3 linked regions of the Coturnix japonica genome follow. The protein of the gene in region 1 interacts with the protein of each later gene in a pairwise test. Links are inferred from orthologs where the notes say so. Each region holds a gene or a part of one and is shown in the gene's direction. Other genes may lie near its edges.

The links.
Region 2: the proteins of PCBD1 (region 1) and HNF1B interact in binary tests that used the Homo sapiens proteins (3 or more experiments, as listed by UniProt). The link is inferred for Coturnix japonica from reciprocal best matches to the Homo sapiens genes PCBD1 and HNF1B.
Region 3: the proteins of PCBD1 (region 1) and HNF1A interact in binary tests that used the Homo sapiens proteins (3 or more experiments, as listed by UniProt). The link is inferred for Coturnix japonica from reciprocal best matches to the Homo sapiens genes PCBD1 and HNF1A.

The regions. Positions count from the first base shown.
Region 1 is NC_029521.1:9,422,112-9,426,507, forward strand, and holds the start of PCBD1 (pterin-4-alpha-carbinolamine dehydratase), read left to right. Parts: upstream 1-1,340; 5' UTR 1,341-1,463; coding exon 1,464-1,466; intron 1,467-1,642; exon of another isoform or gene 1,643-2,532; intron 2,533-3,478; coding exon 3,479-3,610; intron 3,611-3,953; coding exon 3,954-4,034; intron 4,035-4,358; coding exon 4,359-4,396. UniProt on the Homo sapiens protein: Involved in tetrahydrobiopterin biosynthesis. Seems to both prevent the formation of 7-pterins and accelerate the formation of quinonoid-BH2. Coactivator for HNF1A-dependent transcription.
Region 2 is NC_029534.1:7,401,052-7,405,624, reverse strand, and holds the start of HNF1B (hepatocyte nuclear factor 1-beta), read left to right. Parts: upstream 1-1,533; 5' UTR 1,534-1,695; coding exon 1,696-2,033; intron 2,034-4,573. UniProt on the Homo sapiens protein: Transcription factor that binds to the inverted palindrome 5'-GTTAATNATTAAC-3'. Binds to the FPC element in the cAMP regulatory unit of the PLAU gene. Transcriptional activity is increased by coactivator PCBD1.
Region 3 is NC_029530.1:8,078,427-8,083,151, reverse strand, and holds the start of HNF1A (hepatocyte nuclear factor 1-alpha), read left to right. Parts: upstream 1-1,862; 5' UTR 1,863-3,927; coding exon 3,928-4,262; intron 4,263-4,725. Other genes in the region: SPPL3 (signal peptide peptidase-like 3), read right to left, coding at 1,638-1,723. UniProt on the Homo sapiens protein: Transcriptional activator that regulates the tissue specific expression of multiple genes, especially in pancreatic islet cells and in liver. Binds to the inverted palindrome 5'-GTTAATNATTAAC-3'.

The DNA.
Region 1 (4,396 bases):
TCCAAAAAGGACCATCAGAAGGTTTGGGAACTGGACAACGTGAACACTGGGGAAGTCAAAAAGCAAACCTTGACATGGATGCCAACTGAAGGAGCTTCCACAGCCAGCTGGATTTTGTTAAAAAGGTACAGACAACATAATAAACATAGATTAGTGATGTGAGATCTCCCTCCACAAATGCAGAAACACCTTGGGTATGTTACAGCAATGCACACAAATTAAGCTGACACTGACCCAGCCTCAAATAAGCACAGCTTTAAATTAGGCAAAAAGAGAGGGGGAAAAGAGCAGAAATCTCTGCCCTGTGACAGGCATGGTCCCATCACAGGGCTGCAAAATGCTCTGAACAAACACCTTACCCAACAGAGCTCGGTTAATCATTAAAAGCAAATCTAGAGTCCGTCCCATCCGAAAGAAATGAAAGCAGCCAGGCAAAGTATCTCCCAGCCCCGTTTTCACACGTACACAGAGGAAAATCACAACTGCCCTGTTGACACTTCTCAGCAGAAACATGTGAGATCACTCTGGCAGAAAGATGCACACGGCTGGCAGTTAAGGGCTGATTTATACCCTCTGAGAGAAAATAGCATTATAAGGGAGCTGTGTAATCAGTAGATACACTGTAATTAGTGTATCCATGATTTTCCACTTTGCTACATCATTGCTTCCTTAACCTGCCCTTGCCACTGTACGCAGGGGCCGCAATGAGGCAAGCACCATTCTTGCAACCCAAACCACTGCCCAGAGAACATTCTGCTGGCCTTTTTCAACCTTGCACACAATGCCAGCTCCTGGTTTCACTGCTGGAAGCTGTGCAGCACTCCTCCTCCTGTATTCCACATCAAAACTTCCAGCTTCAGATTTACCAACAGGTACTGATCTACTCAGGAACTGAGCTGCCTTCCAAGCCCCCTCCCCCCACACATAGGCACAGAACAGAATAGATGCTCGTTTTTCCTTCTTGTTATCACAGTAAGTAAACTTACAATGGACAACAAAGGAAGTACGTGCTTTCCTCTAACAGGTCTGCCGGAGAAACAAATTGTCTCTGTGGCATTCAGGGATTCTAAAAGCAAGATGTGCGTGAGCACACAGAATCCTTAGAGTTAGAAGGGACTTCTGACGGCCATTTAAGTTCAACTCCCCTGCAATGCACAGGGACACCACAGCTCGATCAGGTTGCCCAGGGCCTGGTCCAGCCTCACTCTGAAAGTCTCCAGGGACTGGGCATCAACCACATCCCCACGCAACCCGTGCCAGTGCCTCAGCATCCTCTCTGCGGAGCTCGAGGGGCCCCCTGCGACAACCCCGGTCCAGGGAGACGCGTGGGGCCGAGGGCCGCGGCCGTCGTGGGTGGACCCGACCCCTCGCCACGCCTCCCGCAGCCCCGCCACGCCGCCCGCCCCACCGCCCGCACAGCGCCCGGCCCGCACCGCCGCGGAGGACACGAACTGCCGCGGGCCATGGTAAGTGGGCAGCGGGCAGCGCGGCCGCCGCCCCGAGGGCGAGGACGGGGAAGGAGGGCTAAGGCGGCGGCTCCGGCGATCGAGGAGAGGGGCGGGAGGAGAGGGAGGAAGGAGCGGAGCCGGGCGGTGAGGTTAATAAGTAACGCGGGCAGCTCTGCTGGTCGCCGCCGGCTTACCGGTGTGCTGGGGGACGGAAGGAAAAGCTGCGGCGCGCCGAGCGTGGCCCTGCCGAAAACCTGCCGTGCACGCGTGGCCCCGCTCGTGCTGCTCCGGCTGCACAGCCCACGAGGGGCCTCGTCACTGCCTGCTCGTGCCAGGGCCGAGCCCTCTGCCTAACGCAGGTGGCACAACACCCTTACGGGGACGACGATGTTAGGGCAGGGAGGGTCGGTTTGTGGCCGGACAGCCCTGAGGGGTGAGCTCTCCCCATTTCCCATGCTTAGGTCCTTAGCCTGTGTTGCACAACGCTGTCCTGCTGGCAAAAAAACAAACAACAACCAAACAATGCCTCCATGGTGGAGAGCCAGCAGAAGAGAACAGAATAATTGCATTACCCCTAGTGCAAACCATGTGTTTTATAAGAGTGAGCACGCACGAAGGCATGGACGTGGCCTACCAAAGCAGCGTCCTGAACGGGGACAGCAGCAGTGCCCGGCCCCACGTTGCTCAGTTGCTAAGCCACCCGACCGCCTTACCACGTCACCGCCAGGGCCGAGGGTTTATTGCCCTGAGCAGTGTTTGCTCGCTGCCTCGAAAGGTGGAGCTCTGGAGGGGGTGCAAGCCTAAATGTGGCACAAAGCAAAGGACGGCGTCGGGGGCTGGCAGAGTGGAAGGCTGTCAGTAAATGTAGGAGGAGAGCACGCTGTTGCACGGCTGGCATCCATCACACACAGGTGGCTCGGTCTTCCTTAGGTGCAAAACCAAGGAAGAGCCTACAAAAGCAGCATCAGTTCCTCGGTTGTCCTGTGCTTCACTGACTGCAGTCCTTAGGACTCTTTGCTTGGGTATATGGATGCTCAGAAAGAGCAGACTGCATTGGTTGAGACTAACATCTAACTTGCCAGACTTTGTCCTTCAGCACAAAGGAAAACTAATTGCAAAAACATGTTGGTCTTTGCTAGTGAGAAGAAACAGTTCTCATCCATTCAGAAAGAATTCAACTGCTAGAATAGCATCTTCCACATAGATCAGCACCCATCCCCAACTCAACACCACCCTCCCCACTGAGCCAGCAGACACCCAAAGAACCCTCTGCTTCAGTTTCATCTTTGCCTCATACACAAGCTGAAGCCAAGAACTGGAGCTTTTTTCTCCCATTTAAGACCAAATAACAACAGCTGTGCCAGAGAGTGGAAGACAATACTAATTCACAGTCCCTCCCTCTGCCCTTTGTTACTCCCAGACAAACAGCCTCTTAAAATCCATCATAGCATCGGGGAGACTGAAAGGAGCTGAATTCCAATGAAGTGTGACTCACCTGTGATTCATGCTGCATTTCTTCTCCTCTAGAGAAGGTTTCCAGCACAACTGCCCTGCAAATAAACCTCCTGCTTCCAGAGGGTACCTCACAAACTGCAAAAGCAAGCAGGTCTTAGTTCTGGAAGTCATTACAGGTTCCTCCCAACCCCACCCCACAGAAAACTGAATTGTGCATTTTGGAAGCTTAACCACACACAGACACCATTTCTTGGTACTGCAGGCTATAATGAAAACATACAGCAGTAAGGTGTCCCAGGAGGCTCTATTTGTTAGGTGGTGCAGATCAGAAGACAGACTGGGCTTCACTTGACCTAGGTATGTGCCAAAAGGTACCCAAGTTGGGGAGCAGAGGACAGCACTGATATCCCCCCATCCTTAGCATCCCGCAGTTCAGGGCTGCACATGCATTCCATGCCTCGCAACCACTTTGACCTTCAACTCCACAATCCATGGGTTTGCCTCATTTCTTTGCATATCTGCTTCCTCCTACCTCTGCCACGCTGATCTGCTTCTCTTCCTTTCCTTGGTGCCAGGCCGGTAAAGCCCACAGGTTGAATGCAGAGGAGAGGGAGCAGCTGCTGCCAAACCTGAGAGCCGTGGGGTGGAACGAGGTGGAAGGAAGAGATGCCATCTTCAAAGAGTTCCACTTCAAGGACTTCAATCGGGTATGAGCATTGGTGATACCAAGTTTGACAGTTTTACAGAGCAGAGAGTCCCACCTGCATGGCTCAGCCATAGAAACCCCTCTTTTTTCTAAAACGTGATAGCTCAGCAAGATAATCTACCCAAGACACCAAAGTCCTCAATTCATCACACAGTTTGTCTGGGAAAAAGTTCCTAAAGAAGACCCATAGAAAAGCCCAACAGGGATACAGAACATCCATGTCTTGCCATTTGCCTAGGTCCCTACAGACACAGGGTACAAAATTAATAGTATAGGGGTCAAATAGCAATATAGCACAGGGTAAGCAGCTCACAGCTAACTTTTCTTTTTATTCCACCGAGCAGGCCTTTGGCTTCATGACCAGAGTGGCTCTACAAGCAGAAAAACTGGATCACCACCCTGAATGGTTCAACGTGTACAATAAGGTAAGAAGCATGGATGGCAAGAACAATCAGAGCTCTTCAGGGAGCTGAACCCATTTGTCAGGCATAATGCTGCACTCTCAGCAGCAAGTCCTGGTCAGATCTGCAGAACTTCTTCCCTTGGATGCTGTTCCTTTGGCATACCACAGACAGCCTGTAGCTATGACTGACAAGCCCTCACCTCCTCCTTTTTTTCTGCCCAGCTGGGCAGTAGCTATGGGTGCACTAGCACCAGTTGCTTTTTTAGGTCAGTACCAGAAGTAGCAGCAGTGGGGGAACCTGCTCCTGTTCTGTCAGCCAGCAGCACTCTTTCTTTGTCTGGTTTAGGTTCACATCACCTTGAGCACCCATGAATGCACAGGTTT
Region 2 (4,573 bases), on another chromosome or scaffold:
GTGGGGCTCCTGACAGCGCTCAGAGGAGCTGGGTGTGGAGGAAGGGGGAAGAGCAATAGGGTGAGAGAGATGGACCAGAAAACAATATCCACTTCATTAGCCAGGTGGCTCCGAATGTGTGGAAATAGGACAAAGTCTAGGTCACCCACTGTGACAGAACATTATTATCATGCGATGCCATGAAGCCGTGCAAAGACCAAGTCAAAGCTCACTGGCCCACTTGAAAGGGACAGGGGAGCTGCCCCGGCCCGAGCTGTTCCCAGGCTGCGGTCCCACGCACGGCCCTGTGGCCACGACCAGCAGCAGTGCGGGGTCAGCTGCGTCTGAGCCCATGTCCCAGTGATGGGAGTGCGGCTGTCAGGGACCCAGCAGGCAGATGTGTGGGTTTGAGAGCAGGGCAGAGGGAAAGCTCTTGGCCAGGCTGCTGGGAGCAGGGCTGGGTCTTAGGCTGGAGCCCTGGGGGCTTTTCTGTCCTTTCTTCTGTACACTGTGCTCATGCAAAACCTGAACCATCACACACCTGTCTGCCGGATCCCAGCCAGGCATGCAGGGAGGTTTCCTGCTCCCTCAACACACTGCCCCACATTTTCCCGGTGGGCTCAGTGAGGGCAGAGAGTCCTGCCCCAAATGGGCTCCTACAGTGCTCAGGGTCTGCCAGGCGCTGGTGGCTCTTGGGACATTTTAGGGCTCCTGGAGCCCTCGAGGTGGGCAGGCAGCGATGGCTCCAGGGATGCTATGACAGTCTGAACCTGGGCTGAGTGGTGGGCATGGAGTGGCCATCTCAGAAAGCACTGCCACCCATTGCCAGGGCATGGCTGGAGGGCATTGGGCAGTGCAGCTTGCTGGGATGGGAGGTGGTGGGTGAAGGGTTTGGATATCGTATTTCCCTACGTTGTGTTCAGTGATGTGCTGGTGCCTCTCGTATCTCGCCTGCTTTGGTTCGGGTCAATTTGCTGATCTTTTGTGACTCAGTGCGTTCACAGCAGGAGGAGAAGCTCTTTTTGTTCAGGTCCCCGATGCCTTCCGCTGCCCCCACCCCCGCGGCTATCGGGGCTCGAAGGGCACTCCGCATTCCCGAGCAGCGCTACCCCGCAGAGTCCCATTCGCCGCATTGCCACGACTCCTCCACGGAGCAGTGCCCGACCCCGCGACGGGACCCCTACGGGACCCTGCCTGAGGACCCTCGGACCCGGCCCCGCGCAGCCCCACGGTTTTATACAGCGGGGCTCAGCACTGAGCGCCGGGGCTCAGCCCCGAGGCAGCGCCCGGCTCCGCGCTGTGCCGCTCCGAGCGGCCCCCGACGGCACTTCGCGCTCCGCGCCGGGGCCGGGCCGCTCCCCCGGAGCGCCGCCACCGCTCGGGGCCGGGCCGGGCCGAACCGAACCCCGCTTCGCCGCTGCCCCGAACGCTCCGCGCCGCTCCTCGGGGCCTCACGGCGGCCGCGGGCAAAGTCCGCCCCAGCGCGCCCGATAAGGGCCGGGCGGGGGCCGGGCCGTGGCGGGCGGGGACGCGGGGTTCGCTCCCGGGGGAGAGGCTCTCTCGGAGCTGATTTGCATAAGGTATAATGCCTAATAGAGGCGGTCATGGCTAGGTAGAGGGCGGCCCGCGCCCCGCACAGCCTGCCAGCCGGGGCGGAGCGGCAGGTGCCGGAGGGAGGCGGGCCGGGCCGGGCCGAGCGCGGGGAGACCCGGGACCATGGTGTCCCAGCTGAGCGCCCTGCAGCGGGAGCTCCTGGGCGCCCTGCTCAGCTCCGGGGCCACCAAGGAGGGGCTGATCCGCGCCCTGGAGGACATGGTGCCCGCCGCCGGCTTCGGCGTCAAACTGGAGAGCCTGCCGCTGTCCCCCGGCGGGCCGCCCGACGGCAAGCCCGGCTTCGTGCCGCTGGCCAACGGGCACGGCAAGGGCAAGCTGTCCGGCGACGAGGGCTCGGAGGACGGCGACGACTTCGACACGCCGCAGATTCTCCGCGAGCTGCAGGCGCTCAACACCGAGGAGGCCGTGGAGCAGCGGGCAGAAGTGGACAGGATGATCAGGTAACCGGCGGAGCGCTTCGCTCCCGCGGCCCCGTGCTCCGCTCCGGGGTTCGCTCCCGAGGCGCCCGTCCCGGCAGGGCGCTGCCGCCGCCCCCTCTCTCGCACCGAGAGCGGCGCGGTGCCGGGCGGTGCCGCCGCCCCGTCGGGTGTTCGTCGCCCTCCGCGGTGGAGGGGTCAGGGGCGCACGGGCTCGCGGCCGCCCGGGGCTCGGCTCCGTCCTCCCTCCGCGCCGGGAGATAAAACATAAACTGCAGCACGTGGAGCTCGGAGTGTTATTAATTTATTTCTATAAATCATCAACAGAAAGATACACAAAGAGCCGCGATTAGAGGCGGGTTATTCATTGCCGGAGTTGTAAACCAGGCGGGGAGGGGGAACGAGGAAACCCCCAAACGCGGCGGTTCGGGTCCCGGGGGATGCGGTTCCGCGCCCCGCTCTGGCCGAGCCCGTTCGCTCCGCGCCGTGCGGGGCCGCGCAGAGCCGGGCCGGGCCGTCATGGAGCGGCGGAGCAGCCCTGCGCTCGTCGGGGGCGATTCCCCGCAAGTCCCGGTGCCCGCAGCGGGGCTCCGCTCCCAATACACGGAGGCGGATTCTGCGTGGGAGATCCCCGCGTGTCCCCAGCCCCGTTCGTGCCCGTCCGTGCGGCCGGGCAGCCCAGACACATCGGCGGCAGCGCTGGGGCTCGGATGGGACGCTCGGGAGCGGGAGGGGACACCGGTGCGGGCCGCCACCCGCGCGCCGGGCGCTGCCGCCGTCGCTCTGCCCCGTTCCCTGCCGCTGCGCCCCCGGGGGTGCGTGAGGGCTGTGCCCGCGTCGCAGTTCTCCCACAGGTGTTTCTGTGCAAAGTTTGCCTTCGGTGCAAACAAGAGCAGGCACATGTCCCTGAGGAGCCTTCTGCAAAGAGCTTCTGTTTGCTCTACGAGAGCCCTTTGTACTTGGAGAAAGGCGGCCGGGGCAGGAGCGACGGGAGCCGTCGATCTCTGCCCCTCCGTGCGGCTGAGCCCCCTCCGCTACCACCCCGCGACCCCCGGCTCCGCTCCGACGCTGCCCACGCGGCCGCAGAGGTGCGCGGCCCCGACCTGTGCCGCGCTGCCCCGTGGGCAGCTCCGTGGGCCCCAAAGGGCTCCGCGCTGGGGGAGCTCTGACCCGCGCTGTGCCCCGCTGTGTGCGCAGGGAGATGCAGATTAGATAGATCCCCGATGGAGGGAGCCGGCTTTATAATCCATCTGTATAAATTCTTGGCATTTTTCTCGGAGGATGTGGAGCTTATTTACCTGTTTCCAAGGCTGACCCAGAGGGCGAGCGGGTGGGGGCCTGGGGGACAGGGATGGGCGCTGCCCCCCTCCCCCCTCCCCGGGCAGTGCTGCCCACACTCGGCCGTACTAACGCGGCGCTCAGCTCGGTGCCAGTGGCCGCGCGGGGCGGAGAAGGGCCGCGGGGTGAGAGCTGTGAGCTGGTTTGCAGTGCCGCACAGCGCACCTGGGGCATTGCGCCTTTATTTCTTCCTGCGTGTAAAATTCATCCCCATGGAGGTTTGGGGACAGAACCCCCACATTGGTTTGTGCCGAGTTGTTGAATGGAAATGTTTTCCTCTCTGGCTTTTCAGGTTCACCAAAAAGAGAGAGAAAAAAAATAAATAAATAAAAAAGAGAAGAGGTGAACAAACACTCAAACGTTTCATTTTGGGTCAAGTCCAAACATTTTGTTTAACATGAAACAAAATGTTTGGGTTTGGTTTCAGGCTGTTTAACCCTTCTGAATACGGTCAAGTTGATTTGTAAAGAAAATCGTTGCTCAGAAATTCAGAGCTGAGGGGTTGTTTGCAAAGCACAGGAACGGAGCGCTTTGGAAATGCTGAAGTTAAAAATCATTCCAATATTAAAGTGAAGGGATATGTGAGGACTTCTGGACTCATTCCCACTTTGTTTGTTGGTTGGTTTGTTTGTTTGTTTGTTTTCCCCAGCCCAAATACTGGGAATAAAACTCCATTTCAATTCCGAAATCACATCTGTAACCCAAAGTCACTTGTTTTCATGGTGTTCACTGGAGTGTTGGCTCCAGGCTCCGGCAAAGCGATGCCCTTGTGTTAGCCAGGCTGCTGTCAGGACAAGCTCTGTTCCACCAACTCATTAGGACCCAGTAATTATTGAACAGGGGCAGGATGAAGCCCCGCTCCCACAGCAGTGCGCTCCCTTCACCCGGGCTCGGGGCGCACGGCTCCATCCCCGCAGTGGGTACCCCGGCTGTGGGCACTCCTTGGGAACTGAGCAATTTTGTTTCCTTGCTGCATTCGAGACAAAAAGTAAGAAACCTTTTTGTTGGGCATTTCCATCTTGACAGGATGAAGGATCCAAAATAATGAATGAATTGGAAAAGCGCTTGGATGGTTATTCCAAGCATTATTTGAGTGCACAACTGTGACCAGGCTCAGGTTCCACACCGATTTCTCAGTGTTGAACCATTTCCTTTCACTCCATGTTGTTGGGTGCTGTGAGATGAGCCGTGGGGCCGGGGCACACAGTGGGTGTGTTGGCCGCCCC
Region 3 (4,725 bases), on another chromosome or scaffold:
CTTCTCTGCCTTTCTTTCACCAATGGTAACGTTCCCACCATGCTCACAGACCCATACAAGCTTGCTCTGCTAGCATTTCTGTCATAGAAATAGTAAGACTTCTTTCCCTTTGTGCTCCTTGAAGTCACACTGGGCTGCCTTTACCTTAGCCCATTACTGCGTTATTCCATCAGGAACACTTAAGGATGGGTATTACTCAGCACATGAAAACAAAGGTAACAGTCGTATTGATTCAAGAATTCAGGCTTTGGGAGTCTATTATCTGATCTCTATTCTGTTCACAAGGACCCCGCTGTCTATTATTTGGGTTTTTCCCTGGTATAGTAAGGAGAATAAAGACTAATAAGTCTAACTAATAAGAAAATCCTACTGTATACCCACTTATACTTTCATGCAGCAGTTGTCAGTCTTAAGTAATCCACAGTTCAATGACTCTATTACCTGCAGCAGAGAAAGATTACGTTGGAACAGCTAATGGAGGAAGACTGGAGGAAGTGGGCACATCCTTACCTAAAATGGCCTAAGCTGCCTGTACTTCAGGAGAAATGAAGAAAATCATAACTGAAAAACATAGAACTTGTATTAAGGTGTACATACAACAGTGCAAAGCATTCCAGCATGTTTAAAGAGTCTTTATTACGTTTGCTATTAAAATAAAATAGAAATCAGACCGTGTGATTACTAACTGATATGTTTCTCAAATGTGCATCTAAATCGATTTGTTAATAAAACATTCATGATCCTGCTGTGACTTCTGTCCAGTTTAGTGTAGTAGAGCTGCTCATGTCTTAGCACCAAAGCACCGAATTTAAGGAAAAAGGAAAAGAAAACAATTTTGCAGCAAGAAATTCAAAAACAGACACTGGAAACAAGAGAAGAATGAGCAAAATCATTCCATGTTTCCACACTTCAAGAGCTGTCCCTTCCACAACCACCACGATTACAGCAGTCTGAGTAATTTAAGAACCAAGTCACGGCCCAGCAAATTGTTGCAATTAAGGAAATCAACACATTCTAAACACTGGTAATAAATGAAAATGAGTGTAGCAAAACAAACTCCTTTTCTTTCAAATGCTCATTCTCAATACAAAATCTGTGAGGTATAATTTAGTTACAGGAGTATGTTGTTTGGGTTGTGGCACTCTACTATTTACTTTCTGCTCTGCTACTAGAACTCAAATCCAGCCTCAAAGCTTTGCTGCTTCCCACCTTGTCCTTTGCTATCCTTAATACCTCACACCTCCCAGCAGCATGTTATGGAAATGGTAAAAACCTGAGAAATACCATGTTGCAATCTGTTGTGTCAGTGCATAAAATAGGAGTGCTAGGTGATATATGGCAGCAGCCTCCTCCCTATTTCCCCAGGTCCATGGTCTGATGGCTCATAATTTGGAACCCTGAAGAAACTTTACAAAGATCACTAGTTTTCCTGCTCCAGAGAACCTGAAATACTGAACAGAGCCTCAGACCATTCACTAACACAGACTGGTGGGTTACAGTGAAGATAAAGGTGATGATGGAGCTGTTTAAAGAACACTTCTTTCTTCCTTGTTTTCTTTGTTGTTTATGTACCTATAGTTTATAATGGACAGCTCTCTAGGTTTGCTCTTTAGATTAAAGTGATTGAGTAGACTTACCTCCTTCCCAGTGTTTGAATAGATTCCATACTCAGCTCAGTGTTCTCCACGTGGCATCCAGCCGTGGCATTCGGTGAGGTCCCAGCCTACAAACAGACGTTCATTTCTGTTTTCACAGTCTTCAAATCTCACTGGCTTCAAGACAGGCTGTTCTAAAAGCCTCCGCAGCTGCAGGTCTGCAGGGTGCACAGAATCAAGGCAGAAGGCTTCTGGGTGCATAAGGAATCCTTGAAACCACACAATATACACAGATCATTTGTTGCTATGTTTTCTTCTCTTTACAGTTCCCTTGGCAGACTGATGATTGTGTGTGAACTCAGGGCTGTGCATCCCCCACCCCCAAAGCATACAACAAGCACATACAGTCACAGAACTCAGACCAGGCAACCTTTCAAATAAGAACCATGATGACAGTGTCCATCCTAGTTTAAGAAATCCTCATACCACAGGAAAAGACAGAATCTTCTGTCATTCATTGCTTGGTGCCCACAGTCTGTTGTCCTCGCTCATAAAATCCTTGAATTATAAGGATGCATCGTGAATAAACTAGGTATTGTGACTGGAAGCTGTACTTGCAATGTACAGTTACTATTGGCCAGTATTGTTGGCATGTCTGCTAGGGTGAGGTGGGGATGAGGAAAATTGTAATGGGGAGTAAAATGCACACAAATTGCATCAAAGCATCAATAGGAGAACCTCAAATCTCACCACTTCTTAAATGCTCTTTTTGCATTACAATAAATGTGGATCTTTAGAAACAGCTCTGGTAGGAAGGTCAGCCCAGCCGCCCAAGCACAGTTTGCTGGGCCTAGAAGAGGGGGTCTGATCTGAAAAAAAAAACTCTTGTCCTTCAGCTGCTGATTTGGCCCCTTGTCACAGGCACCACGAGAGCATGGATAATGCTGCCCATAAAGGAAAAAGAGGGGCCCAGGCCATCCAGCAGCACTGTGTTGGAATATCAGTTGCTTTTGAGACACTTCTAGTAGGCTCCCCCTCGCTTGGGCTTGATGGAAGCAATATAAAACAAGGCAAGTGGCTGCCCATAGGAAACTTCCATTAAAACAACAGTTTTAAGTCCTTCTGTTGATCACATAAGTAGGAACTATTTACAAGATGCTCATGCACCATTAAGTTCACACCAAGTTATTTCCTAATTCAGCCATTTGAAATGGGAAGATTCCCTGAGAACTGCCCGAAAGTACTGCAGTGAAGTTACAGAGCATGTTTTCAGGATTCAAACAACAGGTGGGAGTAGAACATTAGAGCAGGGCTGGTATCAAGGCACAGGTGATAAACGGGAGCCAAAGCTGCCCAGAGCACTTCTCAGAAGCAAGGCAGCTGCAGATAGGGACTCTCAGCATGTACCAGCACCCAGGGCTAGTCCTTACCATGTGCTTGAATCACAAGCTCAATGGTGCGAGTAATAGCTGAATTTTGTGCATACACAGCTTTTTCTCATCAATTCAGCAATAAATGTAGCAAGTTCTAATGGAGGTGTTGATGTTTGCATCTTAAGATGCCCAGCAAGCCAAAGGCAGAAGCAAAAAGATCATTTAAGACTCAATGCTCTTCCATACAAGTCAACAGGAGCTCCAGAACATCCTGTGGGTCTTCGGAACACCTCCTACCAACCCAGGGGGGTCACTTGTCTCTACTGGAGGGCTGCATGAAGGCAATCCAAGCTGCCAAGGCAGTATTTTTGCAGCTCAAAGCCCTCAGCCCACCACGGCCAGAGCTCAGAGTAGGCTCTGCAACCTTCCAACACCGGTGAACGCAACTCTTCCTTGTAGGTGCTCTACCTCTTCCTTCTCTACAATGAATAGGGCCAAAAAGCAAGCCTTGTTTTCCCACTCCCATTCTCCTAGTATTCCTTCCATAGCTTACTTGTCCGTGCTGGCAGACCTCCTATCCCTTCATTTTCCTCTCTCTGCTTCCCTCCCTTTCCCCCTCCCCCTGCTTTCTCTCCCTCTGCACTTTGTGAACTGCTGCTGCAGTGCTGAAGTCCAAAGTTCAGTAACTTGCTAAGCACACAGATAAATATGAACCTTGGAGAATTTACCAATGTAAACAGATAGCCAAGGGTCCCTTTATCAGCACTGGCTCAGGACAGTCGTGGGGGGTCTGAAGTGGCTCAATTTTGTATTTTGTTTTTTTTGGGGGGGCGTAAAGGCGGGAGGCTGCGCTGTGCCCGCTGCTGACAGTCGGGCGTGTTACCTCGGGAACATGGTGTAGGGAAGCTGGAAGCAGGATAACGTGGAACTCAAGCCCAAGAAACACCAGCCTGAAGACCATGGTCTCGAAGCTGAGCCATCTTCAAGTGGAGCTGCTGGGAGCGCTGCTGGAGTCAGGGCTAACCAAGGAGACCCTGATCAAGGCACTGAGCGAAGCGGAACCCTACATGCTCCAGAGTGAAAGTCAGCATGCTATCAATGCCCTGCAGACAGAGAAAGGGGAGTCCTGCCCCGAAATCCCCAATCTCCCCAATGGAATGGGGGAAACCAGGTTATCGGAAGATGAAACCTCTGATGATGGAGAGGAATTTACCCCTCCGATAATGAAGGAGCTGGAAAACTTGAGCCCTGAGGAGGCTGCTCACCAGAAGGCTGTGGTGGAAAGACTATTACAGTAAGGAAAGATTTGCTGCTCTTCTTTGCTGCTCTTTCTTGCATTCTCCCGCTAAGTCTCCTTCCCTTACCCCCTCTGCTCCGCGTACTCACAACTGATCTAGCTGCAGAGTTCCCATCCATGCCTGACTATCCCCCAGAACACTCCCCGTATTCTTACAGATGCTCAAACTTTCTCTTTCAATCTCACTTCAAATGCATAAAGGGAGCCACAGAGCCTGGTTATGAGTTTGATACACTTGTATCATCGGGCCTGGGAACAGTTTATGGGCTGCATAAATTGCATCTCTGACTAAACATTAGTTCCTGACATTTATACCTTTATAGGATTCCAATTTTCAGTCATCAAGGAAAGAAAAAAACTACTATCTGGTCACACTCTTAACAGGTATCGTTTTAGACAGTGAATGTACGGTCAAGTGAAGCTGTGAAGTTTTCCTGCTAATTTTAAGGTGATAAATATT